Linked DNA regions of Anolis sagrei. The protein of the gene in region 1 interacts with the protein of each later gene in a pairwise test. Links are inferred from orthologs where the notes say so. Each region holds a gene or a part of one and is shown in the gene's direction. Other genes may lie near its edges.

The links.
Region 2: the proteins of UBE2U (region 1) and TRIM32 interact in binary tests that used the Homo sapiens proteins (3 or more experiments, as listed by UniProt). The link is inferred for Anolis sagrei from reciprocal best matches to the Homo sapiens genes UBE2U and TRIM32.
Region 3: the proteins of UBE2U (region 1) and RNF144B interact in a two-hybrid assay, tested with the Homo sapiens proteins (2 studies listed by BioGRID and IntAct). The link is inferred for Anolis sagrei from reciprocal best matches to the Homo sapiens genes UBE2U and RNF144B.

The regions. Positions count from the first base shown.
Region 1 is NC_090024.1:166,392,150-166,403,576, reverse strand, and holds the start of UBE2U (ubiquitin-conjugating enzyme E2 U), read left to right. Parts: upstream 1-6,527; 5' UTR 6,528-6,662; coding exon 6,663-6,731; intron 6,732-8,796; coding exon 8,797-8,878; intron 8,879-10,316; coding exon 10,317-10,409; intron 10,410-11,427. UniProt on the Homo sapiens protein: Catalyzes the covalent attachment of ubiquitin to other proteins.
Region 2 is NC_090031.1:11,302,952-11,314,081, forward strand, and holds the start of TRIM32 (E3 ubiquitin-protein ligase TRIM32), read left to right. Parts: upstream 1-6,606; 5' UTR 6,607-6,709; intron 6,710-9,588; 5' UTR 9,589-9,623; coding exon 9,624-11,130. UniProt on the Homo sapiens protein: E3 ubiquitin ligase that plays a role in various biological processes including neural stem cell differentiation, innate immunity, inflammatory resonse and autophagy.
Region 3 is NC_090024.1:79,797,285-79,808,682, reverse strand, and holds the start of RNF144B (E3 ubiquitin-protein ligase RNF144B), read left to right. Parts: upstream 1-6,289; 5' UTR 6,290-6,678; coding exon 6,679-6,694; intron 6,695-11,398.

The DNA.
Region 1 (11,427 bases):
AGAAGTGAATATCCTATCCCAATCACCCCAAAAGAATCAACGATTTCCATATAAGTCAATAAAATGTTGGAGGGGAAGACCAGTCTTCAGTACTGAAGACAAAAATCACTACTAGTTAAATCAGTGGCCATTCCCACCACCATTTCTCTTATTTTTTTAAGGTCTACTCAAGTTGTCCAATCAGCTTTAGGGCAGTTCTGCATGGACACAATATCTCAGGCTGATCTGAAGTGTCAGACTCCAGACTGGTTCCCATATACTTCTTGCTATCAGCTCCTAGGTCACTGCAGAGATAGCTAACCTTTGCTTGTCTGGCCATTCCACTGCTGTGAAGCCCAGCCCTGAAAATGGCCGATAGCCCTCCCTTGGTGACAAATGTAATGTCAGCTGAGGTGCTGAAGCCATGCGGAAGAAGAGGGGGGGAGGGAGGATTCACCCTCTCCTTTCCTACCTTCTGTCTCCCTGTCACTCCTATCTCTTGGCTCATGTCATACCTATCACTAAAGGAGAGTTTCAGAACACAACAGTAGGATGGATGAACAGGGAAGGTAGTTGATCTCCCATGTCCTTGGACCACCCCAGCCCAGGAATACAGTATCGCCATATAAACAGTTGAATCCAGTTCTGATCTCGGAACCGACTCTGAGAATCTGAAACAAATTTGGTTTATTTGGAATCCCAGGAAAACACCAAAGCAACCCACGACTTTTGTTAACATATTTCAAGGTCATGTTAACCTGAATCGGCTCTGTGCATCATGTAACCAATTCTCTCTCTGCCCTTTGGGTTATATGTTTACGTAGATGTGCCCTTTATGTGCTTGACTGTGAAAAATGGTAGTCTGGTCATAACTAACAAAGTTAAAAATCAAGAGCACTAAAAACCAGATGGATTCATGGCTGCTTTTGAGTCTTCTGTAACCCAAAGAAAATCCAACCGTATATGGTCTTCCAGTGTTTCTGGCTTTTCCATCATCATATACTTTATAGGGAAAGTTCAGAAAACTACACTTCCATACAATGTAAATTGCAGGCAATACTCTGGGTAAGTAGACTAGCTGTTCTTCTCAATGGAAAGTTTGTCAATGATAGGAAACATATCTCATGTGCAAGATGCACTTTGTTAATAAAATGGTGAAACAACAAATTGAATTCCACAGGGAGATAATAAAGAAAGAAAAGCTCCTCAACATAAATTGGATAATGCTGAAAAAATATATTTGCCAAACACTTTCCAGATTGCAAAACCAGATGCTAAGATGGTTTCTGACCAGAGAGAGAGAAAAATATCTTGAATTGTAAAATCATTTCTGCACCTTTTTCAAATGCTCTAAAAGTAATATTTGAAACTATTATAGGTAATGAAATTTAAAAAGATTCAAATGCTTTAGAGATAAACAGTTTGTAAGAGCTTAGGAATGTCTCACTAAAAGGCAACATGAGTTTCTCAAAAACAAGTAATTGCAGATTAATCATACCTCTCTTTTTTAATAGGGCTTGAAACTTTGTAAATGAAAGGAATACTATGGGTCTAGCATACCTTAGATTGCAATAAAGCTTTTTACAAGGTTTCCCATAATATTTTTGCAAATGAGGTAGCAAACTGCTACTGTTAAGTGGATTTATACTTGACTGACCAACCAAACCCAGAGGGTGCTTACCAATGGCTTATCCTGGAGAGAAGTGACTTGTGGGGTGCCATGATACTGTGTCCTGAGACCAGTAGTCTTCAACATTTTTATGTAAGACTTGGGTGATTTTTTTTCATGTCAGGAGCGATTTGAGAAACTGCAAATCGCTTCTGGTGTGAGAGAATTGGCTGTCTGCAAGGACATTGCCCAGGGGAACGCCCCGATGTTTTGATGTTTTACCATCCTTGTGGGAGGCTTCTCTCATGTTCCCACATGGGAAGCTGGAGCTGACAGGGAGCTCATCCACGCTCTCCCCAGATTCGAACCTGCGACCTGTTGGTCTTCAGTCCTGCCAGCACAAGGGTTTAACCCACTGCGCCACCGGGCGTTTGCTTATCAGATATTCAAATGACACCCTATTAGGAGGGATCCTTGAGATTGCATCAGAATTCAAGACGACTATAAGAGATTGGAGAGCTAAGCCAAAACTAACAAAATGAATTTCAGCAGGGATATTGAACACCAGTAACAAAACACAGAGACCAGACACATGATTTGGAATGAAATAAGTGCAGTTTTATTGACCTAAACATGATGACACAGGGAGAACCTTTTTCCATAGTGTCACCATTAAATTCAGAACTGCCACACAGTGAGTTCAAGACTGAAAATAAAAATTGCAAAGTGCATGAGAACTTGTGTAAACATAGAGGAAGATGAGTGCTTGACCCCAAAAAAAGAATCAAAATGTGATTTTATGGTATTTATTTTAATGATTTTATCAGACAGTGTGGTTTGCTGAGTCTATAACATGAAACCAGAATTCAAATACCTCAGCCATGGAAACTGACTGGGCAAGTCACTCTCTTTTGGCAAAGGTAAGAAAAAAATAAACCCACTTAAAAATCTTACCAAGGAATTCCTATGATAGGTTTGTCTTAAGGCCATAGGTTGGAAATGACTTGAAGGTGTAGTATAATGTAGTGGCTTGCGTACAGATTTGGTGAAATGCAGTGGTTCAAATACTGGACTAAGACTCCAGAAGATGAGGGTTCGTATCCCTGCTCGGCCGTGGAAACCCATATTCTATCAGCTTCAAAACGAGGCAAAAGCAAATTCCTCTCTGAACAAATCTTGCCAAGAAAATCCTATGATCCAATTGTCTTAGGATCACCATAAGACAGAAGGCACACAACATCAGGAATATTTGCTGATCCTGGAACTACAATTCACATACTGAGCTTCCAAGGATACACTCACTTTGGAGGAAAGAGCAATACACGCTAATGTATATAAGGCACTTTGAGCATGCTAAGGAGTACTATACATGCTAATTATGAATGCCTTAGATCTTTGGTATTTCAATTTGTTCAGCTTTGCAGGATTATCGATGTGCATGTTCAGAAAAGGTGCCAGAACCAATTAACAAATTCAACATTTCAAAAATCTTTAGAAATAATATATGTAATGCCTAGAGCTAGAGAAAAAACGAATAAAACAAAAATGAATAAAATACTCTCCCTGCTTCCATCTGTTATGAATATTTTCTTCTGTCAACAGGAAATAGTTGCCAAATTCTCCTCTTCTATTGAACATGGAAAATACAGCTGTATCAGAAAGGTTTATTGATGCTGGAGATTGGTGATACAGCTCTTATTCATACAAACCACATCCACTAATTTTCCGAAGAGGTCTGTCTCCTGGCTGGATCTTCAATAACCAAGGTCATCATTCAGCACAACGTTAGTCTCTCTGTGGGCCTACAAAACCCTTGATTCCTCAATGTGGCAACAATTTTTAAAAACATTGCCTTTTTATGGAACATGATGATACAGCCTCGTTTCTTCGTCTTTGATATGGAAAGCATAAGAACAGTTATATTGCCAGTGTAATAGCAAGTATTAAAAATTCAGATGTAACACTGTAAACATTTACCAAACTGATCTCTGAAGGAGTGGAAGACGTAGAATTATTAAAAGCACCTGTAGAGTACACAGAGTGGCAGGCTGATTTCATTTCCAGGTATAGCTATCATTCTGCTCCATTTAGCACTAAGGATCTTAAGAAAACCCTTACCTAACTATCCCTAAAAGCACTAGTTTTGAAGCTAAGTAGGGTCCAGCTGTGGTTATTACTTGAATGAGAAGCCACCAATGAATATCAAGTGCTGCCAGCTCTATTTAAGAGGAAGAAACTGGCAAAAACAGCTCTACAACAGTCCTTGTCCATGGGGGTCACCATAAATGGACTTGAAGGTCTATGCCCTCAAACGCCAGGAGAGGACCCTCTACGGCTTTGCCAGCTAAAGACAGCGCCTTCAAGCACACAGCGAACACACATTCCAAGAAGCAAGATTCCAGGTAACCCTCCAAATGAAGTTTATGAGGTGTACATTCAGTTTGAAACAAACAGAAACTGTTAAGGCTCGCTCCAACCAATTTGCTTTCAAATGGAAACAAATGTTCAATAGATCAAATGTGAATGAATGATAGTCCCATTCAAAGCTTCCATTAACAGCTCTATAAGATTATATGCCTCTTTGGACTTCAGAGCAAATACCTGCTTTTGGCAGCTTCTGCTTTTCCCAGGATGCCCTGGCAACAGGATTCCAGGGCATTTGGATCATAAAAGTAATTGAAATCCAACCATCATCAAATTGCTTTGGAATGATTCTGCACTGAAGTATTTGAGGAAGGGATGATGGAGCTCACCAGCCATAATTGCCAAAGTCCATTTCCATTCATTCAGGGAAGTAATGTTTCTTTAAATAGACCCCCAAAAAAGTCTGTGCAAAGAAGAGATGAATGCATACCACAAATTTAAAAAATGAACCAATGAAAGAAACTCCAAACAAAAACAAAATGAAAATATCTTGCAGATTCGTTTGACACAAATGTTGTTTTATGTATGTAAGAAAAGTGGGTTAAGTGAAAGAACAAGAGACCTCTAAAGTTAGAGGTATCCAGCAGAACAAGATGTATTCCTTTTGGAATTCCAAGAGATGATTAGAGAAGTAGATAGGGAATGTTTGGATATGAAGTGTTAAGAAAACGTGTGAATTCATTTTCATTTATTCTCTCTTGCTCGCCTTAAAAAAGCTCTGAGGATTATCTGTGGCATAGCAGCACACAAAAATACCTGGGTGTTACCCTGGACTGTGCTCTGACTTACAAGAAGCACTATCAATCAAAAAGTGGGTGCTAGTAATAATATACAAAAGCTGACTGACACAACCTGAGGAATCACTACCAGACACAGTGAAGACATCTGCCCTTGCGCTCTGCTACTCTGCTGCTGAATATGTGGAACACATCCCACCATGTTAAAACAGTGGATGTGGCTCTTAATGAGATGTGCCATATTATCACAGGATGTCTACACCCAACACCACTGGATAAATTATACTGTTTAACTGGTATTGCACCACCTGACATCCGCCGGGAAGTAGCAGCCAATAATGAAAGGACCAAGGCAATTACATGTCCGGCCCATCCTCTGTTCGGATATCAGCCAGTACGCTAACACCTTAAATCAAGAAATAGCTTTCTAAGATCTGCAGAGATACTCACAGGAACACCTCAGCAAATGAGAGTCCAAAGTGGAAGGCTAAAACCCAGAACCTCAATCGATGGCTGATACCAAACGAGAGACGAGAGACTCCCTCCTGGGCACACAGAAGACTGGGCAACTTGGAAGTTGCTGAACAGACTGCGCTCTGCCACCACAAAATACAGAACCAACCTTAAGAAATGGGGCTACAAAGTGGAGCCCACAACATGCAAGTGTGGAGATGAGCAACCATAGACCACCTATTACAATGCAGTCTGAGCCCTGCCGCATGCACAATGAAGGTCCCTTTTACAACAACACCAGAGACACTCCAAGTGGCCAACATCTGGTCAAAGGACATTTAGTATAATGCCAAGATTTTCACTTTGATTGTGTTTTTAAATACATTACAACTGTACCTTCAGTTCACTCCTGACAAAATAAATAAAATAAAATCTTCTAAGTAGAATGCTGCAGTTATATGACTTTCTTGAAAAACTGTCCAGATATAATCACAGCCAAATGGGGAGGAAATACTCCTTTCCCAAAACTTCCAGACAGGCCGTATATCCCAGGCTCTGATCCCAGGTTTTATGTTTATCCCAGATTATCTGGCAGTAGGGATTCATATAATCTAGTTTAAAGCAGAAAACCTGGGATATAGGGCTGTCTGGAAGGGCCCTAAGAACCACGGGATCCATGTCACCTTTCTCAACCTGCTTATCTTAAGACAGAATATTGCTATTACATCACCTTCCTTAGTTTTCCCCCCACCCAGCCAAATTTCAAGTTAGAAGTTGGAATAGATGGCTCTTGTGGTCCCTTCCTACCCAATGATTCTGTTACTTCTTCGATAGTCCATACACATCTCTCTGGGCTGCTTAAGCCAAACAATCAGACAGATGTAAGAGGGGAGGCTGGGTAGTTTAATTGTCTTTTCTGAACTTCTCCTAGCTTTCAAAGCCTGCCCTCTTGTAATCTGACCTCTGCAGAAAATGAGAACCGATGTAATCATGTCTGGATAAAAAGTGGCTTCTAATTGGATGACTACAGAAGGAGAAAAGAAAACCTGTTCCAATTGGCTGTGAGAGTTCTATTCCAAACAAATTGTACACAGCTTTGTGTTGCTAGGTTACGTTTGATACACTGAGTATTCTAGCCTCCTCGCTTTGCCTTTCCTGTGGATGCTGAGGCTGTATAGGAAGAAGCAATGGATCAAAGTGGATCTCTTTGCTGCCCCTGACACAAAAACTACCTTAAAGCTTAACGTTTATGGGATTCAGATCCTCTCTTCTAGGACTGCATTGGAAAGAGATTGTTCCATTTACTTGTATTTGCCTGGCACATGAGGAGGTGTACCAGTTTAAAGAGAATCACTTTTATCACCCCATTTCACCTTCACACCTGTCTTTAGGACAAATTCTCCAGATTTTCTTTGGCCTCAAACAACTGAAACACAAACAAGAAGAAGATTTTTGCAATCATGATGCACACAAGAGCTTTCTTACTGCTGGAAAAAGAGTTTATGGAGTATGAAGAGTCTAACATCTTTGTGAGTACCATTGGGTTGCACCCAGTTTGTTTATAATGAACAAGGTCACTATATATTGTGTGAAGGCTATCACAGCTGGAATCACTGGAGTGTTGTGTGGTTTCTGGGCTATATGGCCATGTTCTAGAAGCATTTTCTCTTGAAGTTTCACATGCAACTGTGGCTGGCATCTTCAGAAGTCGTAAGGTTACTATAGGTTGAGTCTACTAACCACACAACATTCCAAGGTTACTATAGGCTGAGTATCCCTTATCCAGAATTCTGAGATCCAAAATACTCCAGATTTGGCTAAGATGGTGACACCTTTCTGTACAGAAAGTTTGATTCCTCCACAAATATTGAGTATAAAATTACTTTCAGATTATATGTGTAAGATTATATGAAAGATAAATGAACATTATGTTTAGATTTGGGTCCCATCCCCGAGATATCCCATTGTGTATATGCAAGCATTCTAAAATTCACTACAAATCTGAAATATGGAATATTTCTGGTCTCAGACATTTCAGATAAGGGATACTGAAACTGGAGTGGTTGTCCTGAGTATTAGTATAATAGAGCTGCACTTTCATTCTCTCTCTTGTCCTATAAATCTAGAATGGCTGGAACAATCCCCTGGCTGGATAGAGAGGTTTTATTTAAACTTTTTAGATAAACAAAAGAGAAAGCCTCACCCTTCTTAAATGATTTGAGTTAAATGACTGACACTCCGCCCTCCAAGGGGTAGGAGAAACAATTTGCTACATAGGTTTACTAGGAACTTGTCTCTTCTCACTATAAAAACTGCTAATGAAAAAGTTAGTGCTTGGGATGCAGCATTCTTTCTTTCCATATTTGATCATAAGATTGCCATACTTTATATTAATGATAAGCAGGGGTCCGTGTACCAAACTCCAGCCCACTTATTTAGACAGGAGTCATACTACAGAATTGCACTGAAGGACCTAGAGAGGCCTGGGGCGAGGGATAGATGAGTGAAACCATGAATATCAAACCCATGCATATGGGGGTTATATTGTAGTAAGTTACAGTTCACTAGGACCTCATCACACAGGGCTGAAATCAGTGGCATGTGCCAATTTAGCCCCAATCACCCCATGAAGCCAGCTGGCATTTCCATGGGTGAAGGTGGTTGGAGCCAGCACATGTCACCACCATGGCAACACAGGAGACTTCACCTGTTGCTGTTGACTTTAAGGGGGGAAAGCTGCACACTGCACACATGCACCATGCTTCCCCCATGGTTTCAGCTGACAGGCAATGTGGGGCGTGGGGTGGCAACTTCCCCATGCCTCCCAGCAAGTGGAGCACTGTGGGAGATTTTCTGCAGCCTTGGGAAGTTCTTGAACATCATTATCACACATGGGCCAAAATCCTCTCTACATCCCTCATGGGGGGAAGGTGTGTCAGGTAAAAGCTGGGTTTGTGGTGATTTGTCATTATGCAAGGCTATTAAAGAAATTCCACCTACAATGACTACAATCATAATTAGATAAAAATAACCCTACTGGTCACACTAGCTGAGTTCTGAACCAATGGTTTGGAATGTCTCTACCCTGGCATGAGCAAACTTCGGCCCTCCAGATCTTTTGGACTTCAACTCCCACAATTCTTAACTGCTTACAACTGTTAGGAATTGTGGGTGTTGAAGTCCAAAACACCTGAAGGTGTTTGTTCATGCCTGCTCTACACAGTAGGATTAATGCTGCTTGATACTACTTAAACTGCCATGGATCAATACTATGGGATCCTGAGGTTAGCAATTTAGCAAGACATGTACTCCTTGGCAGAGAAGGGTAAAGGCCTTGTAAAACTTCAACTCCCAAGATTCCAAAGCATTGGACCATAGCAGCTAAGTGGTGTCAAACTGTAGCCGTGCTATAGTAGAGATGCACTCCAAGCCAATGGTCCAGAACCCAGCTAGTGTCAGCTAATAGTTGTGGTATTTTTACATAACAATTTCCTGTGACATATGCAAAAGTAGGGGGAAGGACTTCCATTAAGCCTGATTCAGGTCATTGTATTAAGAAGTGTAATAGTCAACTGCCATTTCCCTCTTCTTTAGGGTATTTCTATTACTCCCGTGGGAGACAACTTGATGGAATGGATAGCTGAAATAGAAGGACTGAAGGATTCCCTATGGGAAGGTAGCTATCTTGTTTCCCAACTTTTTTTGTACGATGTGATATGATATGCTTAAAACAATTATGGATAAAATATATTAATCTTGCATTCATGCTTTCAATAAAGTTTTTGCAGAGCATATTGCAATCTATGTTGTCATAAACTCCACAGTTAGATGATGCTTTATCTTATAAGGACAAACCATCTGCGTGCAAGCTTTTGAGGGATCTTATCATACATTATATTACAAAAAGAAAGGAGGAAAGTGGAATTGATGGAAGGGTCATGAAGTCGGTGCCGTGAAAGTGGATTAGAGGTTCTGGTGTCAACTGAGTTTTAGTCATACATAGGACAATTGGAACATACTGGAAGCCTATGGTCTTAGGTAGGGTGAGCATTATCCCACAATGGCAGGATAACTCGGAGAGAGAGGGGAGAGAGATGGGGGGAGGTTGGTCCCAGGTCAACACTGCAAATATATTAGGGCCCACATTTTTTTAAATGGATAATCAAGTTGTTACTCACGCTGCTTCCAGACAGCAATTTACCATGGGAGAAAACCGGTTAAAGTAACCTTTTTTCTCCAGTGTAGCTGTACGCACGGGTACCCAAAAGAAGCAGGCTTTCCCATACGTTGTCCCCGTTATAGCACAGTAATAACTGTAATACAGTGAGGAAAACCCAAATCCCACTTCCTAAAACCTTGAAATTTTCAGGAAATTCCAGGTCTAATTAATTATCAAATTAATCTGGGACAAAGCAGAGTTTTCCTGCTTTATCTCAAATTAATTCGGTTTTACCAGAGACATTGTTTGGAGACCTCTGGTAAAACCGTAGGCGCGCCTGTGTTATGGGTCCTGTCTGGATGAGCCCTCAGGTTTGTCTCCAAGCTAGAATAAAACAGGCAAATAACAAGCATATAAATCAGGCATGGGCAAATTTCAGCCCTCCAGGTATTTTGGACTTCAACTCCCACAGCCAGTAAGCTGTTAAGAATTGTGATAGTTGAAGTCAAAAACACCTGGAGGGCCTAAGTTTGCCCATGCCTGATATAAATTCAAAGGTGCAAGAGATAACAGCTGCCTATTTCCTACTGAAAGGAATTAATTCAGGTCCATGTTGTGAAATGTCGAGATTAACTAAAAACTCTTGTTGTTGTTTATTAATGTCCTTCCTTCTGTTCAAAACTGGAAATGAAGACATCTGCATAAGGCTTCAGTCTGCATCCACTAAATTCAACAAGATTTGCTTCTAAGTTAAAGTAACATTGGGGTGTTTTTTTTTTTGCTTGTTTTTAATATTAAAGTATATCAAAATGATAATTCTTTATTTCAAATCAATCCAATTAATTGACTTGAGGAAGGCAGGCTAAACAAATGGTAGTAAACTAAAGAAAAGTAACATTGTTTTGTTTGTACCTGTGTTATACTTCTTATATGTAATTTATTTTTTCTGTATTAGGAGCCGAACTCCAACTATCACTGCTGTACAATGAAAATTACAACAAAATCCCCCCACAAGTTAATTTCAACACCATTCCTTTCCATCCCAATGGTAAGGATGTTATTAATTGTTGTCCATTTCAGAGGTGAAGGACTGGCAGCAAAACTAGCACCATTGTACTTTTAGATTTCAGACAGTGGTTGTACTTCAGTAACTGAAAGTAATTTTATCATTACAATGCTTTATCAGCAGTATTTACAGCAACTTTTTCTTCCCAAATATAGTTACATTTTTTCCAAGAACTTAAGACTGCATCTCAAAGTAATCCAAAGCTGATTAGGTTGAAAAAGAGTGGCTTGCTAAAAAGCCCCAAAAAATAAGTTGCTAAAGTACTAGTCAATGCATCTGTCCTCATTTTCAAAAAACCAATACATTGGCCGCTGAAGATGCAGTGTTTTAAGGTTTTCCAAAAATGTACACCAAGATGTAATGACTATTTAAAGACATTTTGGTGTGTGTGTATACACACACACACATATATGTATATGTCTGCATTTTCCTAGCCAGCAAGGCAGCATGCACTTTTTAAAATCTCTATGATCCTCCTCCATTTATGAAATTTGAAGTCTTCTTATGAAGAGCAGTTCCTTTTCAACAGTAGCACCAAATATGAAAATACTTCCACCAGGAGACCTGCCCAACAAAGCTCTCTGCCCTCCGAGGGCACTTCTAGATAATGCCAAAATCCACATTTTAGAAATGAGTAAAAAAAAAAAATACCGGGACCTGACAGCAGGTCCACACAAATACCTGTCAGTCCCAAGGTATTGTCTCCTGCCGTCCTCACAGCCTTCTGTCCTCACAAGCTGGAGAGCAGATGGAGGACATTCAGCAGAAGTTTTTTGAAATGTAAAATTCCGTCCGTTTTGCACTGGATTGTATATGCACACATGTAAATATCTTAATATAAAGACAAACAAATTTGCATGTGCACATATGACATCCAGCGCATAACGGAGGGAATTTTTAAAAAACTTCTGTCAGATCTTCCTTTCCCCAGTTGTTAATTCAAGCTCTGTTTAATATTACAAAGTGTAAGCGAGTTTCGGAGAGTTCTAACTGCTTTTCA
Region 2 (11,130 bases), on another chromosome or scaffold:
GCCCTCTAGTGGATTTATGGAGCAATGGCTGGAACAACACAAAACAATACATTTCCAAAGTAGTTTCAGGTTTGTGTTCTAGAAGGCTTTCATGGCTGGAATCACTGGATTGCTGTGAGTTTTCTGGGCTGTCTGGCCATGTTCCAGAAGCATTCTCTCCTGATATTTCAGCCACATCTATGGCAGGCATCCTCAGAGGTTGTGAGGGCTATTGGAAATTGGGAAAATGGTGTGTGGGTGTGTCTATCTATCTATCTATCTATCTATCTATCTATCTATCTATCTATCTATCTATCGTCTATTTATCTATGTATCTATGCATCTATCTATCAATCTATCAGTCTATCTATGTATCTATGCATCTATCTATCTATCTATCTATGTATCTATCTATCTATGTATGTATCTATCTATCATCTATCTATCTATCTATCTATCTATCTATCTATCTATCTATCTATCTATCTATCTATCTATCTATCAGTCTATTTATCTATGTATCTATGCATCTATCAATCTATCAGTCTATCAGTCTATCTATGTATCTATGCATCTATCTATCTATCTATCTATCTATCTATGTATCAATCTATCAATCTATCAGTCTATCTATCTATGTATCTATGCATCTATCTATCTATCTATGTATCTATCTATCAATCTATCAATCTATTAATCTATCTGTAGAATAATGTCCAGGGTGGGAGAAAAATATATCTCTTGTATGTTGGAGGCAAGTGTGAATGTTGCAATTAGCCACTGTGATAAGCATTGAATAGCCTTGCAGCTTCAAAGCCTAGATGCTTCCTTCCTGGGGGAATCCTTTGTTGGGATGTGTTAGCTGGTCCACTTTGGAATTCCCTGTTTTGTGGCTACCAATATTAAAAGAACTCTAAAATTAGGACAGTAAATGAAAAACAACCCTCAGAAAATGGGAATTCCAGACAGGAAACTATCAGGGCCAGCTAACACATCCCAACAAAGGATTCCCCCAGGCAGGAAACAACCATTTTTAATCTGTACCCATCACATTTGGCCCGGCCTAGTTTTTTATTGTGTTATGGTGTACTGTTTTTACTGCTTACTGTTATTGGTTAATGTTTTGATTTGCTATTGGTGTATGTGTATTTGTTATATTGCTGTTTTATTGAGGCCTTGGCCTGTGTAAGCCGCATTGAGTCCTTCGGGAGATGCTAGCGGGATACAAATAAAGTTAATAATAATAATAATACCTCCCAACAAAGGATTCCCCCAGGCAGGAAACAGCCAGGCTTTGAAGCTGCAAAGCAATTTGATGCTAATCAAAATAGCCAGTTGCAGCATTCACACTTGTCTCCAACAGATAAGAGTTCTTTCCACGCTGGATATTATTCCACAGGTATATTAACCCCACTTGCCTAGTTTCCAACAGACCTCACAACTTAAGAGGATGCCTGCCATGAATGTGGGTGAAACGTCAGGAGAGAATGCTTCTGGAACATGGCCAGAAAACCAATGGCAAAAGATTACACATAGGAGTCCTGGGCAAATAGATGCCTATAAATGTCATAAATTTATTATTATTATTATTATTAATAATAATAATAATAATAATAATGATAATAATTAATATAAGGCATCAATGGAGGATCAGATTAACAAGAGGGCACAATGCGCGATGTGCCCACCAGAGGGAGACAAAGGATAACACACAAAAGCCCAGGGCAGATAGGGGTCCCTAAGGCTTCAATGGAGGGCCAGAGACTACCAAGAGGGTGCAATGCGCCATGTGTCCACTGAAGTGCGGCTAAGTTTAACTCATAGGACAAATGGAATCAATATGACATGTGTATTATGACACTAGCTGTACCCAGCCATGCGTTGCTGTGGTCCTTAAAAAACAGAGGAATTCCAGACATGCAACAATCTCCTCTAGGGAACACCTCCCCACAATGGTTTCCCACAAGCAGGAAGAAGCCAGGCTTTTAAGCTGCAAGGCTTTTCAAAGGTAATCAAGGTGGGCAATTGCAACATTCACACCTGGCTCAAGCAGAAAAGAGTTGTTTTCCCCACCCTGGACTTCTCACATCTCTTTAAAGAGAAGCCTCTCACAGGATGGTCAAGCATCTGGGCATCCCTTTTGGGAACATCCTTGGAGACGGAAAATTCTCTCACGTCGGAAACGACTTGTAGTTTCTCAAGGTTTGGGAGATATGTGGTTCCCATCAATGGAAATACATTTTTATTTATACAGAATGCCTGCAGGTATGTTTGGTTGTGTATATATGTGTGTGTGTATATATGTATGTGTGTGTCTGCAGGCATGTGTGTATGTTTATATATATGTTTGTATATATGTATGTATATATATATATATATGTGTGTGTGTGTGTGTGTGTGTTTATATATAAACAAACATATATATATATATATGTTTACACACACACACACACACACATATATATTTACTGAACTGACTTTGAAGGAGCTGGGGGTGGTGACGGCCAACAGGGAGCTCTGGCGTGGACTGGTCCATGAGGTCACGAAGAGTCGGAGACGACTGAACGAATGAACAACAACAATATATATGTTTGTTTGTTTGTTTGTATATATGTTTGTATGCTTATCCTAACAGTAAATAAAGAACAACATTCAAAAACAGGGGAACTCCAGACAAGAAACAATCGGGGACAGCTAATCACCTCTCAACAAAAGATTCCCCCAGACAGTATGAAGCCACACCTTGAAAACTGCTGGGTTGTTAAATGTTAATCAAGGTGGCCAATTGCAACATTCATACCTATCTCCAACAGACAAGAGTTCTTTCTCCCACCCTGGACATTATTCTACAGGTATATTAACCCCACTTGCCTAGTTTTCAACAGACTTCACAAACTCTGAGGATGCCTGCCATAGATGTGGACGAAATGTCAGGAGAGAATGCTTCCGGAATATAGCCAGACAGCTGAAAAAAACTCACAACAACCTAATAATAATAATAATAATAATAATAATAATAATAATGATCGAACTGCAAAGATTCTGGCACAAGCCAGTCAAAGTGGTCCCAGTGGTGATTAGCACACTGGGTGCAGTACCTAAAGATCTTGGCCTGTATTTAAAAACAATTGGTGCAATGGGTACCTCAAATAGACAAGAGTTCTTTCTCCCACCCTGGACATTATTCCACAGGTATATTAACCCCACTTGCCTAGTTTCCAACAGACCTCACAACCTCAGAGGATGCCTGCCATAGATGTGGGTGAAACATCAGGAGAGAATGCTTCCAGAACATGGTCAGACAGCCCAGAAAACTCTCAACAACCTAATAATAATAATAATAATAATAATAATAATAATAATAATAATAATATATCAAACTGCAAAGATTCTGGCACAAGCCAGTCAAGGTGGTGCCAGTGGTGATCGACACACTGGGTTCAGTGCCTAAAGACTTTGGCCTGCACTTAAAAACAATCGGTGCAATGGGTACCTCAAACAGACAAGTGTTCTTTCTCCCACCCTGGACATTATTCCACAGGTATATTAACCCCACTTGCCTAGTTTCCAACAGACCTCAAAACCTTTGAGGATACCTGCCATAGATGCAGGCGAAACATCAGGAGAGAATGCTTCCGGAATATGGCCAGACAGCTGAAAAAAACTCACAACAACCTAATAATAATAATAATAATGATGATTGAACTGCGAAGATTCTGGCACAAGCCAGTCAAGGTGGTGCCAGTGGTGATCGGCACACTGGGTGCAGTACCTAAAGGTCTTGGCCTGCACTTAAAAACAATCAGTGCAATAGATACCTCAAACAGACAAGAGTTCTTTCTCCCACCCTGGACATTATTTCGCAGGTATATAAACCTCACTTGCTTAGTTTCCAACAGACCTCACAACCTCAGAGGATGCCTGCCATAGATGTGGGCGAAACATCAGGAGGGAATGCTTCCGGAACATGGACAGTGAAGAAAACTCAAAGCAACCCAGTTTGAGGTTTATTGAGGCCCCTTCTACACTGCCATACAAAATCCAGATTATTTGCTTTGAACTGGGTTATATGGCAGTGTAGACTCATATAATCCAGTTCAAAGTAGATACTGTGGATGATCTGCTTTGATAATCTGGATTATGTGGCTGTGTGGAAGGGCCCTGAGAGACAACTGTGTCTGTTTTAGTTGTTTGTAAAAATGGCAACACAAATGGTAAACAATGGGGATTGTTTTAGGAAAAGTAAACAATGTTTCCAAAGACTTCCTATGGGAAAAAAGGGAAGTTTCAAAATGTTTCCTCTACAAACACCACACTTCCCACCATCCAAGTGAAGGCTTTCATACAGGGACAATTTCATCCTAGATTGTATATGTTTCCTCCACCACAGACATCCTAGTGTTCCTTTCTCTCTCCATTAGCGTGGAATTTGCATGACTCCAACCACTGCCTCTCCCTTAACCTTTCCTATTTCTATGGCACAGCAAATAGAGGAAGTGATCAACAACTGAACATACTAGAGAGGTTTGGGGAGAATTCATGATTTGTAGGAGTTGTAGGTACTGGGATGTGTAGTTCACCTGCAATCTAAGATCACTCTGAACTCTATCAATGATGGATCTGGAACTAACTTGGCACACAGAACCCCCCATGACCAACAATACATACTGGAGGTCTTTGGAGGGATTTATGGGAGTTGTAGTTCACCTACATCCAGAGCACACTATGAACCCAAACAATGATGGATCTGGACCAAACTTGGCATGCATACCCAATATGTTCAAATTTGAATAATGATGGGTTTTGAAAGGAATTGGCCTGGACATTTTGGAGTTGTGGGTACTGGGATTTATAGTTCACCTACAAACAATGAAAACACTGAATTTCACCAAAGATGGAATTGGACCAAACTTGGAACACAGAGCCGCCATGACCAGCAAAAAAATACTGGAGGTCTTTGGGGGAGATTAACCTTACTTTGGGGGAGTTGTAGTTCACCTACATCCAGAGAACACTGTGAACCCAAACACCAATGGATATGGACCCAACTTGGCACACAGGCCTGGTATGCTGACATGTGATTACTAAAGGGGTTTTGGGGAAACCGATTTTCCTTTCTGGGAGTTGTAGTTCACCCACAACTAGAAAAACTGTGACCTCCACTGATGATGGACCTGGTCCAAACTTGGCATACAAAACCCTCAGGTGGGGTTTGAGGAGGCTGACTCACCATAGTGGGAATTGTAGTTCACCCTTCAGCCAGAGAGCACACTGAAAATACTGGAGAGGTTGGGAGAGTTGTAGTTCACCCACAACCAGGGAAACAGTGACCTCCACCGATGATGGATCTGGACCAAACTTGGTGCACAGAACCCCCATAACTAACTCAACCTACTGTAGGGCTTTGAGGCAACTGACTTAACACTATGGGAGTTGTAGTTCACCCACAACCAGAGAGCACACTGAACCCCACCCATGATGCATCTAGAGCAAACTTCCCCAACATCACAAACTTGAAGTACAGATGGAGTTTTTCAGGGGGTGAACCTGGCATGATGGGAGTTGTAGTTCACCCACAACCTTATACATTTGGTACAAAAGTGGCTTTTCCAAATAACCCAAGCTTTTCACAAACTTTAAGTACAGATGGAGTTTTTCAGGGGGTGAACCTGGCATGATGGGAGTTGTAGTTCACCCACAACCTTATGCATTTGGTACAAAAGTGGCTTTTCCAAATAACTCTGGCAACACAAGCTAATATTTGTATATTGGTATACAGTTTTCCCTTTATGTTAAGTTTGTGGGAGAGACTGCTGACCATGTGATCAGATCTGGGACTATTCAGACTGAGACTCCATTTTTGAATTAGACAGTAATGTATTAGACTCAAAAGAGTGTTAGTTTGTATGACTTATTTTTTTTTTGCTCATGTAATAACACATACATATATATACACACACCCCAGATTATAATACTGACTGACCATGTGATCAGATCTGGGACTATTCAGACTGAGACTCCATTTTTGAATTAGTGTTCAGTGATGTATTAGACTCAACAGAGTGTTAGTTTGTATGACATAGTTATTTTTTTCTGCTCATATAATAACACATACATATATATACACACACCCCAGATTATAATACTGACTGACCATGTGATCAGATCTGGGACTATTCAGACTGAGACTCCATTTTTGAATTAAACAGTGTTCAGTAATTAGACTCAAAAGAGTGTTAGTTTGTATGACATAGTTATTTTTTTTGCTCATGTAATAACACATACATATATACACACACACCCCAGATTATAATACTGACTATGTGATCAGATCTGGGACTATTCAGACTGAGACTCCATTTTTGAATTAGACAGTAATGTATTAGACTCAAAAGAGTGTTAGTTTGTATGACATAGTTATTTTTTCTGCTCTTATAATAAAGCACATATATATACACACACACCAGATTATAATTCTGATTTTTAACCTTTAAAAAAAAAATCTTACTTCTATATGACCTTCCCGGGATTCGAACTCGGTACCTTAGGAAAGAACGTCATTTCCCCGGCTTTCCCTGGAAGCTTTGTGTACATGCGTGTGCGCAGGCGCAGGGGCGGTGCATCGCAGGGGACTGACTGCGCAAGCGCAGAGCCCAGGAAGGAACAAAGGCTTTTGCTGCAGCTGCTGGAAGGAGAAAGCAAGCCTGCAAAGCGAAAGCAAGCCAAGCAGGTAGGAAAGGGCCTCTGCTTTGGGGGTTTTTTTGGGATGCACAAGAGGTGCCATGGGCAGGCACACTCTCTCAGCCTCTGATCCCCTATTTAGCTTTCCCCCAGCTTGCATTCCTCATGGATTTGCTGCAGAGATTTGCAAGAAATGCTGCAATCAGCTCTTTTATGTAATTCTGCATACAAGTCTGCCTTTGTCCTCAAATGCCTGGGATCTGTATTTTCATTTTAGGATTTCCTCTCCCCCAAATCTGATTTTGGAATCTATCCATGCAGATTAGGAGACACAGGGTGCATCTACACTGTCCAGTTAATGCAGTTTGATACCACTTTAGCTGCTATAGCTGGATGCTATGGGACCCTAGGAGTTGTGGTTTTGCAAGGCCATCTGCCAAAGGGGGGCTGGTCCTTGACCAGATGATGATGATGATTATTATTATTACTATTATTATTACTATATTATTATTATTACACCATCACCCTTCTCTGCCAAAGGGAGCTGGTCCTTCACCAGATTATTATTATTATTATTATTATTATTATTATTATTATTATTAGGCAATCACCCTTCTCTGCCAAAGTGGGCTGGGCCTTCACCAGATGATGATGATGATGATGATGATGATTAGGCCATCAACCATTCTCTGCTAAAGGGGGCTGGGCCTTCACCAGATTATTATTATTATTATTATTATTATTATTATACTATTATTATTACTATATTATTATTGAGCCCCCGGTGGCGCAGTGGGTTAAAGCACTGAGCTGCTGAGCTTGTTGAGTGAAAGGTCGCAGGTTCGATTCCGGGGAGCGGCGTGAGCTTCCGCTGTCAGCCCTAGCTTCTGCCAACCTAGCAGTTCGAAAACATGCAAATGTGAGTAGATCAATAGGTACCGCTCCATGCAGTCATGCCAGCCACATGACCTTGGAGGTGTCTACGGACAACGCTGGCTCTTCGGCTTAGAAATGGAGATGAGCACCACACCCCAGAGTCAGACATGACTGGACTTAATGTCAGGGGACTACCTTTACCTTTACTATATTATTATTATTATTATTATTATTATTATTATTATTATTATGCCATCACCCTTCTCTACCAAAGGGAGCTGGTCCTTTGCCAGATTATTATTATTATTATTATTATTATTATATTAAAACTATTACTATTTTTATTACTATTTATTATTACGCCATCACCCTTCTCTGCCAAAGGGGGTTAGTCCTTCACCACATTTTTATTATTATTATACTATTATTATTCTTACTATATTATTATTATTATTATTATTATTATTATTAGGCCTCCAGCCTTCTTGGTTAAAAAGGGCTAGTCCTTCACCAGATTATTATCATCATCATCATCATCATCATCATCACACCATCACCCATCTCTGCCAAAGAGGGCTGGTCCTTCACCAGATTATTATTATTATTATCATTATCATTATTGTATTATTATTAGTAGTAGTATTGTTATTAGTAGTATTGTTATTATTGTTGTCATTATGCCATTACCCTTCTGATGGCATAATAGTGTCTTTGGAGGCTTTTAAACAGAAGCTGGATGACCATCTGTTGGGGGTGCTTTGAGTGCGATTTTCCTGCTTCTTGGCAGGAGGTTGGACTGGATGGCCCATGAGGTCTCTTCCAACTCTATGATTCTATGATTCTCTGCCAAAGAGGGCTGGTCCTTCACCAGATTATTATTATTATTACTACTACTACTACTACTATTACTCTTATTATTATTATTGCTATTACTACTGTATTATTCTTATTACACCATCACCATTCTCTGCCAAAGAGGGCTGGCCCTCTTCACCAAACTACAACTTTTTGACCGAGAAAGCTTTGGAGAGTTGTAGTTTGGTGAAGGGCTAGACCTCATTATTATTAATATTATTATTATTATTATTATTATTATTAGGCCATCACTCTTCTCTGCCAAAGAAGTCTTGGTGCTTCACCAGATTATTATTATTATTATTATTATTATTATTATTATTATTATTATTTTACTAGTATGTTATGTATTATTACATTATTATTATTATTATTATTATTATTATTATTATTATTATTATTATTATTAGGCCATCACCTTTCTCTGCCAAAGAGAGCTGGTCATTCATCAGATTAAATAATTTTATTTTTGATTATTAGATTGACTCTGAACAGTCAGCTGGCTGCAGCCATCACTGGGTCTTTCTGATGCTGAGCATTGCATTTTGGGAAATGTAGTTTGGGGCAGGGTTTTCTTGCATTCTCTGCTACTGGGGGCCTCGCCTTTCCAAACTACATTTTTAAGCTTGCTGTGTTCTCAGTCTGCTGTCGACCTTTGCAGCCTGAAAGACAAGTAGGAAATTTAGGTATCGCTTATGCAGGAAGGCTAATTTAACTAATTTACGATGCCATAAAACTCTCCAGCAGCATGTAAAAGAATGAGGAAGTATTCAAACGGTGTCACAAGTGCATGGTGAAGCGACAGCTCCCCTGGTGGCCAGAATTCAAAAAGCTGGAAAGTTAAATAGCCTCTGTGTGTCTATATATGTTGTGTGTCGATGGCATTGAATGTTTGCCATGTATATGTGCATTGTGATCCGCCTTGAGTCCCCTGTGGGGTGAGAAGGGCAGAATATAAATACTGTAAATATTAAATAAATAAAGTTTGAACTTGAGAAAAGTCACATCCAAGAAATAAATTGATGAAACGAGGGTTATCTACTAAGGTTGGATGGCAATTTTGTTGGGAATATTTGCATGATGTCTTCCTGAATTGTCCTCGAGGAACCTTGGGGTCTTCTCCAACTCTAGAATCCTATAGAGGCTGAATGTCAGCACTGAGAGATCAATCTCTTCTCTTTCTCTCTTCCTATTCAGGACTAAAGTTTGGAATAAATGCAACCAGCCTACCCATGGCAACCATGGCTGCTGCTCCGCAACTCAACTCAGACGCTCTACGTGAAGTCTTGGAGTGCCCTATTTGCATGGAGTGCTTTACCGAGGAACACCTGAGGCCGAAGCTGCTGCACTGCGGGCACACCATCTGCAGACAGTGCTCTGAGAAGCTCCTGGCCAACAGCATCAACGGGATCCGCTGCCCGTTCTGTAGCAAAGTCACGCGCATCACGAACCTGGCCCAGCTCAATGACAACCTGACCGTGCTGAAGATCATCGACACGGCGGGCCTTGGCGAGACTGTGGGCCTCCTAATGTGCAAGGCGTGTGGGCGCCGACTACCCAAGCACTTCTGTAAGAGCTGCGGCTTGGTCCTCTGCGAGCCTTGTAAGGAGGCCGACCACACGCAGCAGGGTCACGCCGTGGTGGTCATCAAAGAGGCCGCCGACGAGCGGAGAAGGGAGTTCGGAGCCAAGCTTGGCCGCTTGCGGGAGCTGATGGGAGACCTTCAGAAACGGAAGACCTCCTTGGAAGGGGTTTCGAAGGACCTCCAAGTCAGGTACAAAGCGGTCCTGCAGGAGTACGGCAAAGAAGAGCGCAAGGTCCAAGAGGAGTTGGCACGTTCTCGTAAGTTCTTCACGAACTCCCTCTCGGAGGTGGAGAAGGTCAATAGCCAGATCATGGAGGAGCAAGCCTACCTGCTGAACATCGCCGAGGTGCAGATCGTGTCTCGGTGCGACTACTTCCTTGCCAAAATCAAGCAGGGGGACATGGCCCTTCTTGAGGAAGGCGGGGACGAGGAGGAGCCGGAGTTGATGAACAGCCTCCCCAAAGAGCTGACCCTGCAAGACGTGGAGCTGCTGAAGGTGGGCCGCGTTGGTCCGCTTCAGATCGGACAAGTGGTGAAGAAACCGCGAAGCATCAACGTGGAGGAATCGCTAATGGAGATGGCAGCGGCGGCGGCTTCGGTGTCCTTTAGGGAGGCCGACGTGGCAGAGGAGGAAGCCAACTCTCTTCCCAGCTGCCCTTCCCCTGCCAAGCCGAGGGTGCCTGAAGCGGCCACCAGCATCCAGCAGTGCCACTTCCTCAAGAAGATGGGCTCCAAAGGAAGCACGCCTGGGACGTTTAACCTGCCAGTCAGCCTGCACGTCACCCCCCAAGGAGAAGTGCTTGTAGCCGACCGTGGAAACTTCCGTATCCAAGTCTTCACCCGCAAGGGCTTCCTGAAGGAGATTCGCCGGAGCCCTAGCGGCATCGATAGCTTCGTACTCAGCTTCTTAGGTGCGGATCTGCCCAACTTGACTCCTCTCTCGGTCACCATGAACTGTCACGGCTTGATTGGCGTCACCGACAGTTACGACAATTCGGTGAAGGTCTACACCATCGACGGGCATTGTGTGGCCTGTCACCGGAGTCAACTGAGCAAGCCATGGGGCATCACCGCTCTCCCGTCGGGACAGTTCGTCGTAACGGACGTGGAAGGGGGAAAGCTTTGGTGTTTCACCGTCGACCGTGGGGTCGGGG
Region 3 (11,398 bases), about 87 Mb from region 1:
TTTTAGTCGCCCTCCTCTGTACACATTCCAGCTTGTCAATATCTCTCTTGAATTGTGCCCAGAATTGGACACAATATTCCAGGTGTGGTCTAACCAAAGCAGAATATCTATAAGTACAATGTAAATACAGAAATGTCCCCAGAGTGACTCACGCTCCCACCTCCTTCGCAGGCGCTATTGGTGGGGACGAGGGAGAGTGCCTTCTCGGTGGTGGCCCCCCAACTCTGGAACTCACTTCCCAGGCACATCAGATATGCCCCAACTCTGGCAGTCTTTAGGAGGAGCATGAAAACGTGGTTGTTCCAGTGTGCCTTCCCAGAATAATGAAAACTCTCAGCAATATGCCCTCAAAACGCACTTTACCACTGATTTAGGACTGACTGCATGCCCTCATTTCTCTCTGAAAATCCTATCCCAGTTATATCCTACCTTGTTCACGTCAGCATTATTTTTTTAATTTTAATCTATTACATTTGGCCCGGCCATTGGTTTTAAATGCTTGTATGTCACTGTTGATTGTTTATTGCTTATTTTTTGTTTATGTGATTTATATGAATTGTATTGTATTGATTGTTTTATTGATGTTTTGTTTATTGATGTATTGTGGGCTTGGCCTCATGTAAGCCGCTCCGAGTCCCTTGGGGAGATGGTAGCGGGGTACAAATACAGTTTTTAAAAAAATTATTATTATTATTATGTCCTGTTGCTGTAAACTTCAGCAAAACTATCAGTTCAATTGATCATGAGAATACTCAATTCGTATAGTACACAAGCATAGGGAGCTATTTACAATGGTGTAACAAACCTAATATTCATAAAAATGAACAAAATCTGGCTACTAGTACTAAAAAACACCCTCTAAAATCACGACAGAAAGTAAAGACTCAAAAAGCCAGGGAAGCCCAGACAATCCAATCAGGGCCAGCTAACACCTCCCAACAAAGGATCCCCCAGGCAGCAACCAGTCAGGCATTGAAGCGACAAGACCATTAAATGCTAATCAAGGTGGCCAACTGCAACATTCACACCTTCCTCAAGCAGACAAGAGTTCTTTCTCCTACCCTGGACATTCCACAGATACGTAAACATCCTTAGGCAACAGACCTCACCACCTTTGAGGATGCCTGCCATAAATGCAAGTGAAATGTCAGGAGAGCCCAATCCCCTGAGAAATTTCTTTCTACTCATCTTCCCCCCTCTAAACCAACTAACCCCCAAAAGTCCCAGTGAAAAATATTTTGTTCCAGTTTTAGTGGTGGGGGAGGATCTATGTGCCAAATTTCGTCCAAATCCATCAATGATGAGGCTCGCAGTGGTCTCTGGATGTGTGTGAAGGTACTGCAACTCCCATCAATTTCTAATTTCTATGTATGGTTCTGAAAGTAGACAGTTAATTTTTTGTGCCCATTTTTACTTTCAGTATTGTTACAATAGGGCGAAGACCAACTTTTTAATGATGTTTGTAGATTGGTCTATATAGCTTTGCATTCTGTTTTGACCAGAGTCCCCAGTGTGACTCACAAAATAAAAACAATTTCATTAAAGATTAAAGATGATTACAGTTGTTCATTTGTTCAGTCATTTCTGACTCTTCGTGACCTCATGGACCAGCCCATGACAGAGCTCTCTGTCGGCTGTCACCACCCCCAGCTCCTTCATGGTCAATCCAGTCACTTCAAGGATGCCATCCATCCATCTTGCCCTTGGCCGGCCTCTCTTCCTTTTTCCTTCCATTTTCCCCAGCATCATTGTCTTCTCTAAGCTTTTCTTTCTTCTCATGATCTGGCCAAAGTACTTCATCTTTGCCTCTACTATCCTTCCCTCCAGTGAGCAGTCGGGCTTTATTTCCTGAAGTATGGACTGATTGGATCTTCTTGGGGTCCAAGGCACTCTCAGAATTTTCCTCCAGCACCACAGTTCAAAAGTGTCTATCTTCCTTCGCTCAGCCTTCTTTATGGTCCAGCTTGCACACCCATACATTACTATGGGGAATACCATTGCTTTAACTATGCGGATCTTCATTGCCAGTGTAATGTTTCTTCACTATTTTATTGAGATTGCCCATTGCTCTCCTACCAAGAAGTAAACGTCTTCTGATTTCCTTGATGCAGTCTCTGTCTGCAGTAATCTTTGCGCCTAGAAATACTAAGTCTGTCACTGCCTCCACATTTTCTCCTTCTATTTGCCAGTTATCCATCAGTCTGGTCGTCATAATCTTGGTTTTTTGATGTTTAACTGCAATCCACAATTTCTTCTTTCACCTTGGTTAGAAAGCTCCTCAATACTGTGTTAAACAATATAATGTATTATGAAATAATACCTGAGAAAAATAAATTAAGCACGAGCTCTGATCTGTAAAATGATCAGATAATAGAAAAGGACTGTAGTGCCAAAAGGATCTTCAGAGGACTTTCAAAGTTAAGAGAAAGATTTTTTCTTTCAGACATGCATAATACACTTTCCCCAAAACAAATGGGAAGAGATGCTTTTTGAAATATTGGGAACCATGCTGTTTAGAGTTTTACAAATAAGCACCAGTACCTTGAGCTGGACTTGGGGGAGCCCTTATAGTGCATTCTAACTTGATGTACTGTGTCATGAATGTATCAGAATAAACCAGCCTGAGGTACAATGCTTTTGAATTCTTTTCATGGATGGTGTGATGTAATACAATAAATCAAAATTAATGAAAATAAATATTATTGTATAACGATTGACTGATCAGGAACCGCCATGCGGCTCTAGTTCAAGGATAACAAAAGAGGCAGAAACACACTACCACTTCAGGATAATTATGTTGAAAACACAACTGAAACAGAATGCTATAAAGAAATGCAGATTCTGGCAAGTGGTTGTCTTGAAAGACAACCCTCTGCTCTGTAAACAGAGCTCTGTCATTAATCTTGACAAAAATAAGACTGTAGATAGTACTCTGATGTACAATGGGCTCCTATGGCTAAGAAGCTAAATTAGTAATTAGGTTGTTACATACTTTTGAAAGAATGGAGAGTACTGTGAAAGTCCAAAATTAAATATAATTACCACGTAACTGAGTTTTTGTACCTGCATAATGGTTCTCTCTGCAGGTAAAAAACAGAAACGATCTTCTGTATATATGGTAAACATGATCTGCCCGTAGTTTGCAGTGGGTAACTCTACTGGCTGGCATCCAATTTTGATCTTTTGGATTGAAGGGAAAATAATTAAGTACTTCATAAATCATCATAACTGCATCACCAAGAGAAATGTTAAATGATTTTTTTTGATAGTTCGTATTTCAGATACTATTACTATTATAGGTGGTCTAATGTTTTTTATTCTAAGAATTCGCCTACTTAAAATTAATGCATAACTCTTGACTTCTGTGTTCTGGTTTTGTCTATCACATTGGGAAGATGGGTTTTTTGCTTTATTATCATATATTCTTATTATGTCAGAATTAGGACCACAGTATTTGGTTATAATTATGGTTGATTAACATATTCAGACAGGAGTCAGCATGATGTATACTTTAGAGCAAATTAAAATCACAACACCTTTGTACTTTAGTTCTTTCAGCAATGATAACTCCAGGGGTGTGCTGCTCAGGGCCCTTCCACACAGCCATGTAACCCAGAATATCAAGGCAGAAAATTCCATAATAATTGCTTTGAAGTGGGCTATCATATTCCCCACCATTGGCTATGCAGTCCAACATTTAGAAAGCCTCATGATTTCTGTCCCTGGTGCAACCAGTAACATGTTGTACTGACTTTTACTTACTTTTCAAAGTTATTTAAAGAGTATTTTGATAGGCATGTTTCAATTTCTCCCTTAAACAATCCATAATGAGTGCCCAGTATTCATATTGGCTAGTAATGCATATTGACAGAAAGAAAAGGAACAAAGTGGTATTTTAGTAATAAAACTAAATTAGTAAAACTAAAGTATAGATTGTTAGATACTATACAACAGCTCTTCCCAACCTGGGACTTTCCAGCTGTGTTGGGCTGCCAGTCCTAGCTAGTAACAGGATTGTAGGATTTGTAAACAGCTGGAACGTGCTAGGTAATTTAAACTTCAATAGAAGAAAATTGGAGAAAAGGGCTGCTTTCTGGTGTCCGGATTAGCCAAAAATTATATGCTGTTTTCCTCTGCCAGGCTTCGAATTTTATGTCAGTAATTAACATAAAAGCAACTCGGTGCTCTTTTCACCAGAAGTTTTGAATTTTAAAAATAGGGGATTGTATTCACTTTTTGACACCTGCATCAGTTTGAATGAGGAAACCCCTTCCACACAGCTGAATCAAATCCCACATTTTCTGCTTTGAACTGGAATATATGGCAGTGTGGACTCAGATAACTCAGGGCCCTTCCAGACAGGCCCTATACTCCAGGATCTGATCCCCGGTTTTCTATTCATCCCAGATTATCTGGCAGTATGGACTCATATAATCCAGTTTAAATCAGAAAACCTGGGATCAGATCCTGGAATATGGAGCCTGTCTGGAAGGATCACCTGTTCAAATAAAAAAATTGTGGGATTTTCTGCCTTGATATATATGGTTATATGGCTGGGCCCTCTGTCCAGTATTTATTTTCTGAAACTAAATCTGAGGGATATCCACTAAAACACGTGAAGAATATACAGTACCTGTGGTCACATATCTTAAGCATATTACCCTTGATCTAAATAATTTGAGTAATGACTGCACCCAAATTACTTCAGCAAGCAACATGGAGAAATTCGGTTTAATCGAACATCTCCCCCAAAATATGCTGAAATATTTAATAGCTTCTGGAAAACAGCAAATTATCTGTTGGCAAGAAAGCAAGATTGAGGCTGCCTCAACAGGTATAACCTCAGATTTAGACCAATTAGCAGTATAGTCAGATAGGGTCCTATGGGTATAAATTAATTTTATCAACTCTGATAAAGAAGATTCAATTGAGAAACACACAGCAAAAGATTAGCACTCACAACACTCTGCCTCATTCTCATGCTTTTCACGTGTGTACCCAGAAAATAACTAAACGTGTTAAAATTTCCCAGCCAACCTAATCTAGTAATTGTAGAAAGTAATTCAACTTCATGCTCCTTTTGTCCCACTAGAAAGCGGGAGAGGAAAACCCTTTGCACGCAGGCGTTTGGTGAATAAGTTATTATGGAATTAGACTTCAGCAGCCTGAATAATGACTTTGGACTTTGGAAAATGACTATGTATGAGATCAAGTCTAGGCAGTTTATATGGGTTTAATCTGTTTTTAATTGTTCATATGTTTAACTGTTTATAATTTGATGGGGTGTGTTATGTCCATGTGGCATTGAATTTTGGCAGAGTTAGTAAGCTGCCTTGAGTCCCCTGAGGGTGAGAAAGGCGGGGTAAAAATGAAGTAAGTAAGCGAGTAAGTAAATAAATAAAAATCAAACCAGCTTTGATATTAGGTATTGGCCTTAAGCAGCAGGAATGCTAAAAACAGACAATAGTTTTAAAAGTGATGCTTAAAAAGTCAATGTTTTCATATGTATGGATTATGACCTTTTGATTTTTTTTTTTTTACAAACATAACCTATTTCATTGTGGAAAAGTACCTCATCAATTAAAATTTCTTGCATGGAGCAAATATTCTGCTTATGTCTGTCCTTTAATCTGTATAATATATAGTTTACATGCATTTTATATCTTGGTAGTGTTACCCTTGGTTAGGGGCAAAGGGTACAGGGCCCCCAAGAAAGTGGAACAAACACAAATAAAAAAACCTGTTTTTTTAACACAGATCTCCTCCCTATAAATTTCTGGGTCCTCCAACCCAAAGTCTGGCAAAAGTGACCACAGACTTGCACTGGAGGACTTAGTGATTCAGTCTAAACCTATACACTATTTAAACATTTACTTATTTATATGCAAGGTACATATTGGATTGCTCACTTTTTTACTGACAGGCTTGAATACATATTACTGTCCTAAACTCAAAGAGTAACAACTTTGTTCTCCTTCTTTTATGTTGTTCCTAAGAGTACTGGTATAGTACATATTTCCTGATAATCACATTGCTACACTGAGTGAGCATCTTTCTTTTGTGGGAAGGCTTCCTTACTCCCTACTTCAGTTGCCAAGGCAGTAGTTCTCAGAATCCTTAGAGTCTTAGACAGACTCCTCCACTGTATTCCTGACCTGTAATGCAGAATGAATTTGCCCTTTGTAGGAGGAGGAGGTGCCTTCAGACACAAACTGCCTGTATCAATTTCTGTGGGGCGAAAAAGCCGGCTGCATTTGTAAATCTCCTATTCAGCTGAGGACAGTTCTAAAGAGTAACAACTCTGCCGTTCACAGACTGAGCCCAAGCGGAAGATGTATGAATGGCAAAGGAATTTCCATAGTAGTTAGCAGTTGTCCAATTCTGTCTGGTGAGCATGGAGATAACTTCTGAAGATCCTCTTGAAAATATGGAAAGATAAGTATGCAAGGAAATATGGGCAAAATTAAGAAGCATAACAAAAGTCTACTTCAGGTTTTTTTTTTTTTTGTAATTTCCTGGACCTGAAGCTGTTATTACTACCTTATCTGCCTCATTGAAGAAAGCTCCATCGGCTAGAAGAGAAGAGGCAAGACACAAGCTGCATCCAGTAGAACCAGCTTCCAGACTGTTTTAGACTCTATTCTCTGCCAAAGCACAGAAGAAAGATGGACTCACTCTATGCTGCTGTATAATGGTAAATATATTGTGCATATAATCTTGGTTTCCCAAATCTTTTCACTCTCAAAGCTTCTTTTGCAAACTGTTAGCTTGGCAAATTTATGGCAAGGCATTGCAGTCATATTTGTGGTGAAGTGGAAATGTGTGTGTGCTGGGCATGATGCCTTCTAGTGGTTCAGTTATGCTCTTACCGCAGTTTTCTTGAAGCAGCTACGGTACATTCACCCATACAGCATTGCCACAGAGAAAGCTTGTGGAAATTTGCCATTAAATTCAGTTCAGGAGACCCAGAAGAACTACCCACACAGTCCTCATCAGGACAAAATTAGATGCCCATGTGTTGAAGAATATGCTGGTGTTTATGGCCTTTTAAAAGACCAAGCTCTCTTGCAAGGTATTATCATTTCCTAATATTTGAGTAAAATTGGTGCATTCATGATCTGTTCCATCCAGGTCCACAGTGTGGAAAATAAGTCTGATCCTGCTTAGCTTCCAAGATTAGATGAGATCTGGTGCCTTCAGACAGGCTAATACATTTATGTGCTGGATATTCTTACAATATGATTGTTCACTTAGCCATGTCTGAAAAAATGTCCTATCTGGACATTTTTCTAAGTCTCCCAGCATGATTCTATGGTATGCTTCCTCCTGAAGCTGACCAAGTTGCAGTGGAGGACCTAGAAATAATGGAAAGACCTCTCTAGGCATTTTCTAGGTCCTCTAGTGCTAGTCTGTGGTGTGCTTTCATTTCAGTCGTTCATTTCAATAAGGTTCATGATTACCCAGTTTCACATCTTCACAGTAAGCCCAAGAATGTTTTCCTTTCTGATACGGGGATCATGTTGTATATCTGACACTGATCAAAATATTGGCACATAATTTTCCAAGGAATATATTATAGTTGCTGTATTTATTCAGTTCCAAGACATACTTTTCCCTATACTGTATAAACATCTCTAAAAATGTATACAAATACACACACACAGACACACACAGAATAATAGAATTATAGAGTTGAAAGAAACCACATGGGCCATCTAGTCCAACCTGTTGCCATGCAGGAAAATCACAATCAAAGTACCCCTGACAGATGGCCATCCAGCCTCTGTTTAAAAGCTTCCAAGGGAGGAACTTCCACCATACTCTGAGGCAGATAGTTCCACTGCTGAATAGCTCTTAACAGTCAGGAAGTTCTTCCTAATGTTTAAGTGTAATCTCCTTTTCTGTAATTTGAACCCATTGCTCCAAGTCCTAGTCTCCAGAGCATCAGAAAACAAGCCCGCACCCTCTTTCTTAGGGTATCTTTTCAACTATTTAAACATGGCTATCATGTCTCCTCTCAACCTTCTCTTCTGCATGTTAAACATACCCACCTCTTCAAGATGCTCTTCATAGCGCATGATCTCCAGACCTTTGATAATTTTAGTCACCCTCCTCTGGACATGTTCCAGCTTGTCAATACCTCTTAAATTGTGATGCCCACAATTTGACACGGTATTCGAGGTGAGGTCTGACCAAAGCAGAAAGAGAGCCACCATTATTTCCCTTAATCAAGATACTGTATTCCTTTTGATGCAACCCAAAATTCCATTGGCCTTTTAAGCTGCTGCATCACATTGTTGGCTCATGTTTAACTTGTTGTTCACTAAGCCAGGCATCACCCATCCTGTATCCTTGTGTTTCATTTTTTCTGCCTAAGTGTAGTATCTTACATTTGTCCTTGTTGCAATTTATTTTGTTAGTTTTGGCCCAACTCTCTAATTTGTTTAGGTCGTTTTGAAATCTGATCCTGTCCTCTGGAGTATTAGCTATCCCTCCCAATTTGATGTCATCTGTAAACTTATAAGCATGCCCTCTAAATCTTCATCAAAGTCATGAATAAAGATGTTGAACAGAACTGGGTCCAGGACTGAACCCTGCGGCACTCCACTAGTAACTTCTTTCCAGGATGAAGAGGAACAATAGGTGAGCACCCTTTGGGTTTGGTCAATTAATCAATTAAAAATCCACCTAACAGTAGTATTAGCTATCCCACATTTACTAGTTTATTTTGAAAGAAGACCACGGGGAACCTAGTCAAAGGCATTACTGAAATCATGATATGCTACATCCATAGTATTACCTGCATCTATCAAGCATGTAACACACACATATATAGCATTTTTCCTGTTGGTGATACTGAAAGTAGAGTGTGTCTTACAATTAGCCTTTCCAGACAGGCCGTTATCCCAGGAGCCTCTGCGTTTAAAAAATGTGGAGGTTCCTGGGGGCTTGTCCACACACACCCCAGAAAGCATGTGATTTCTGGGGTGGGTATCCAGATGTCCTTCAGGGAGACCCTACCCCCCTCCCAAAAATCCTAAAAACCCCTTTAAAAATAAAATAGGATAGCTGCAGCAGCTCTCCTGGTGCGTAGAAATGACACACCAGGAGAAGCGGGGGGGGGGGGGGGAGTGGAGTGATTTTCCTCCCCCTCCTGGCACGTCATTTCTATGTGCTGGGAGAGCTGCTGCAGCTCTATGGAAACCGGTAAGTACTTTTATTTTTTAAAAGCTTTTTTTAAAGCACTTTGAGGGAGGGGTGGGTATTCCCACAGTTTTCTGGGCTAATTTAGCCTGGAAAATTGTGGGAATGGTGTCTGGACTGCAGTCCAGACACTAGAAGTATTGGGTTTATAAAGTATTGGGTTTATAATATAGAAGTATTGGGTTTCTAAAGTATTGGGTTTATAAAGTATTGGGTTTATAAAGAAGTATTGGGTTTATAAAACCAGGGTTTTCCTGGTTTGTGGTGAATTAATTCGGGATTGTCCAGAACGTTCTGCAATAAAAGGACAGTCCCATTTTTATTGCAGAAATTTCTGAATAAAGGGGCTGTCTAGATCCACCCTCAGAATAGAAGAAAGTATACACAATGTCACTGAAGGCTGGGATAAGGTTAGCAACAGTTATAAAGTAATTTCTTCTTTAAAGTCCTTGGGAATCACACAAACTGGTCTTTGTGCCTATACACGGTCTCATTGGGAATGTTTTAGATTTGAGCAGCTTTGGTGGGAACTATACCACCTCACACCTGCTCCTTCATTTCTTTTTAGTTCACTGTGTTCCTTTCAACACACAATGTCCTTCAAGCACTATCAAGTTGAGAGCACACTAGTGTATACTGTATTGGAATTTTGCCATCTATCTTCACTTGAATTTTCTATAATGGGTTAATCAACTATTTGTCTGAATCCTAGAGGTCCTGAAGAAAAAGTTGTTTATCTGTAACTGGTTCTTCAAGTAGTTATCTTTGAACACAAACAATCTACTTATTTCCCTATTTTACAGGTCCAACTAAGGAAAGTAGCTTTGGCACACTGGTCCATGCGCATTGGAAACAGTATTGAAAAGGGAGATGGTACACATTGCTGCGACGTCTGCAGTGGCAATAATTTTGCATCTCCCTTGCAATAGTGCCTTTAAAAGTCAATTGCAGAAAAACAAACCAATAGCACCATTCTAATGAAATTTTGTTACACCCCTGTTACAAAACTGTCAAACAGCAATGAAAATAAATTTAACATGCTTGCCACAAAACAAGACCATTGGAAAATCCTGAATCACCAGCTTTCCTTGGCTTGAGAAGGGCTACCTTAAGGAAACCACAACATACTTTCCTGTTGGAATCCTTGACAGTCCTGAAGCTTGATATTCTGCTGGTATTAAGCAAACAAATGGAATACTTTGGCATGGCTGTAGTTTCTGACCTTAAAGAAACCTCGCCCTGATCTCATCAATGCCGGTTCAGTTTCAAAGGCCTCTTACTTGTGCTGACTTGGCTCTTTCTGTTGCAGATCATGTCCCCAAAGGGGTTGACCTTCCACTTCAATAAGCATGGCCTTGTAGTATTTTTGTTTGTTTTGGTTTATTTGCTAACTTTTCCTTTCATTTAGAACAGGGGTTGGCAAAATATGCCCTTTGAGATCTTTTTGGACTGTATTTCCTAGCATTCTGCAAAAGAGTTGTTGGGAGTCATAGCCCAACAACATTTGGAAATACATGTTCCCCGCCCCAGACTTCTAGGTAGATTCACAAAAAATACATTTGTATTATCTATTGGTTACATCTCTAGTTGTCCTTTCCTCTATTGAGGTCAAGGCAACAGACAGGGATGCCCTGACTTTCATGGTTCAGTGCAGATGTCAGGAATGTATGTTTAGGCTCTGCCATGCTTTCTATAACTTTGCTTTGTGCTTTTGCTATGTATAACAACTGCCCCATATACACTGATATATAATGCAATTTCAAATGACATCATATGGTCAGTGTAAAGTAAAGGTAAAGGTTTCTCCTTGACATTAAGTCTAGTCGAGTCCAACTCTGGGTGGTGGTATTCATCTCCTTTTCTAAGCCAAAGAGCCGGCGTTGTCATGTGGCCAGCATGACTGCATGGAGCACCGTTACCTTCCTGCCAAAACGGTACCGATTGATCTACTCACATTTGCATGTTTTCGAAGTGCTAGGTTGGCAGAAGCTGGGGCTAACAGCGGGAACTCACCCTGGAGATTAGAACCGCCGACCTTCCGGTCATTAAGTTCTGCCGCTTAGCAGTTTAACCTACTCTGCCACCACGTGTTTCAACTGCATTACTGCATTTTATGAGTCTGTATTGAACATATAATGAAGTTTAATATGGGGCCTATATTAGCTAATGTTTCAATGTTAAACCTGCTTTGGTA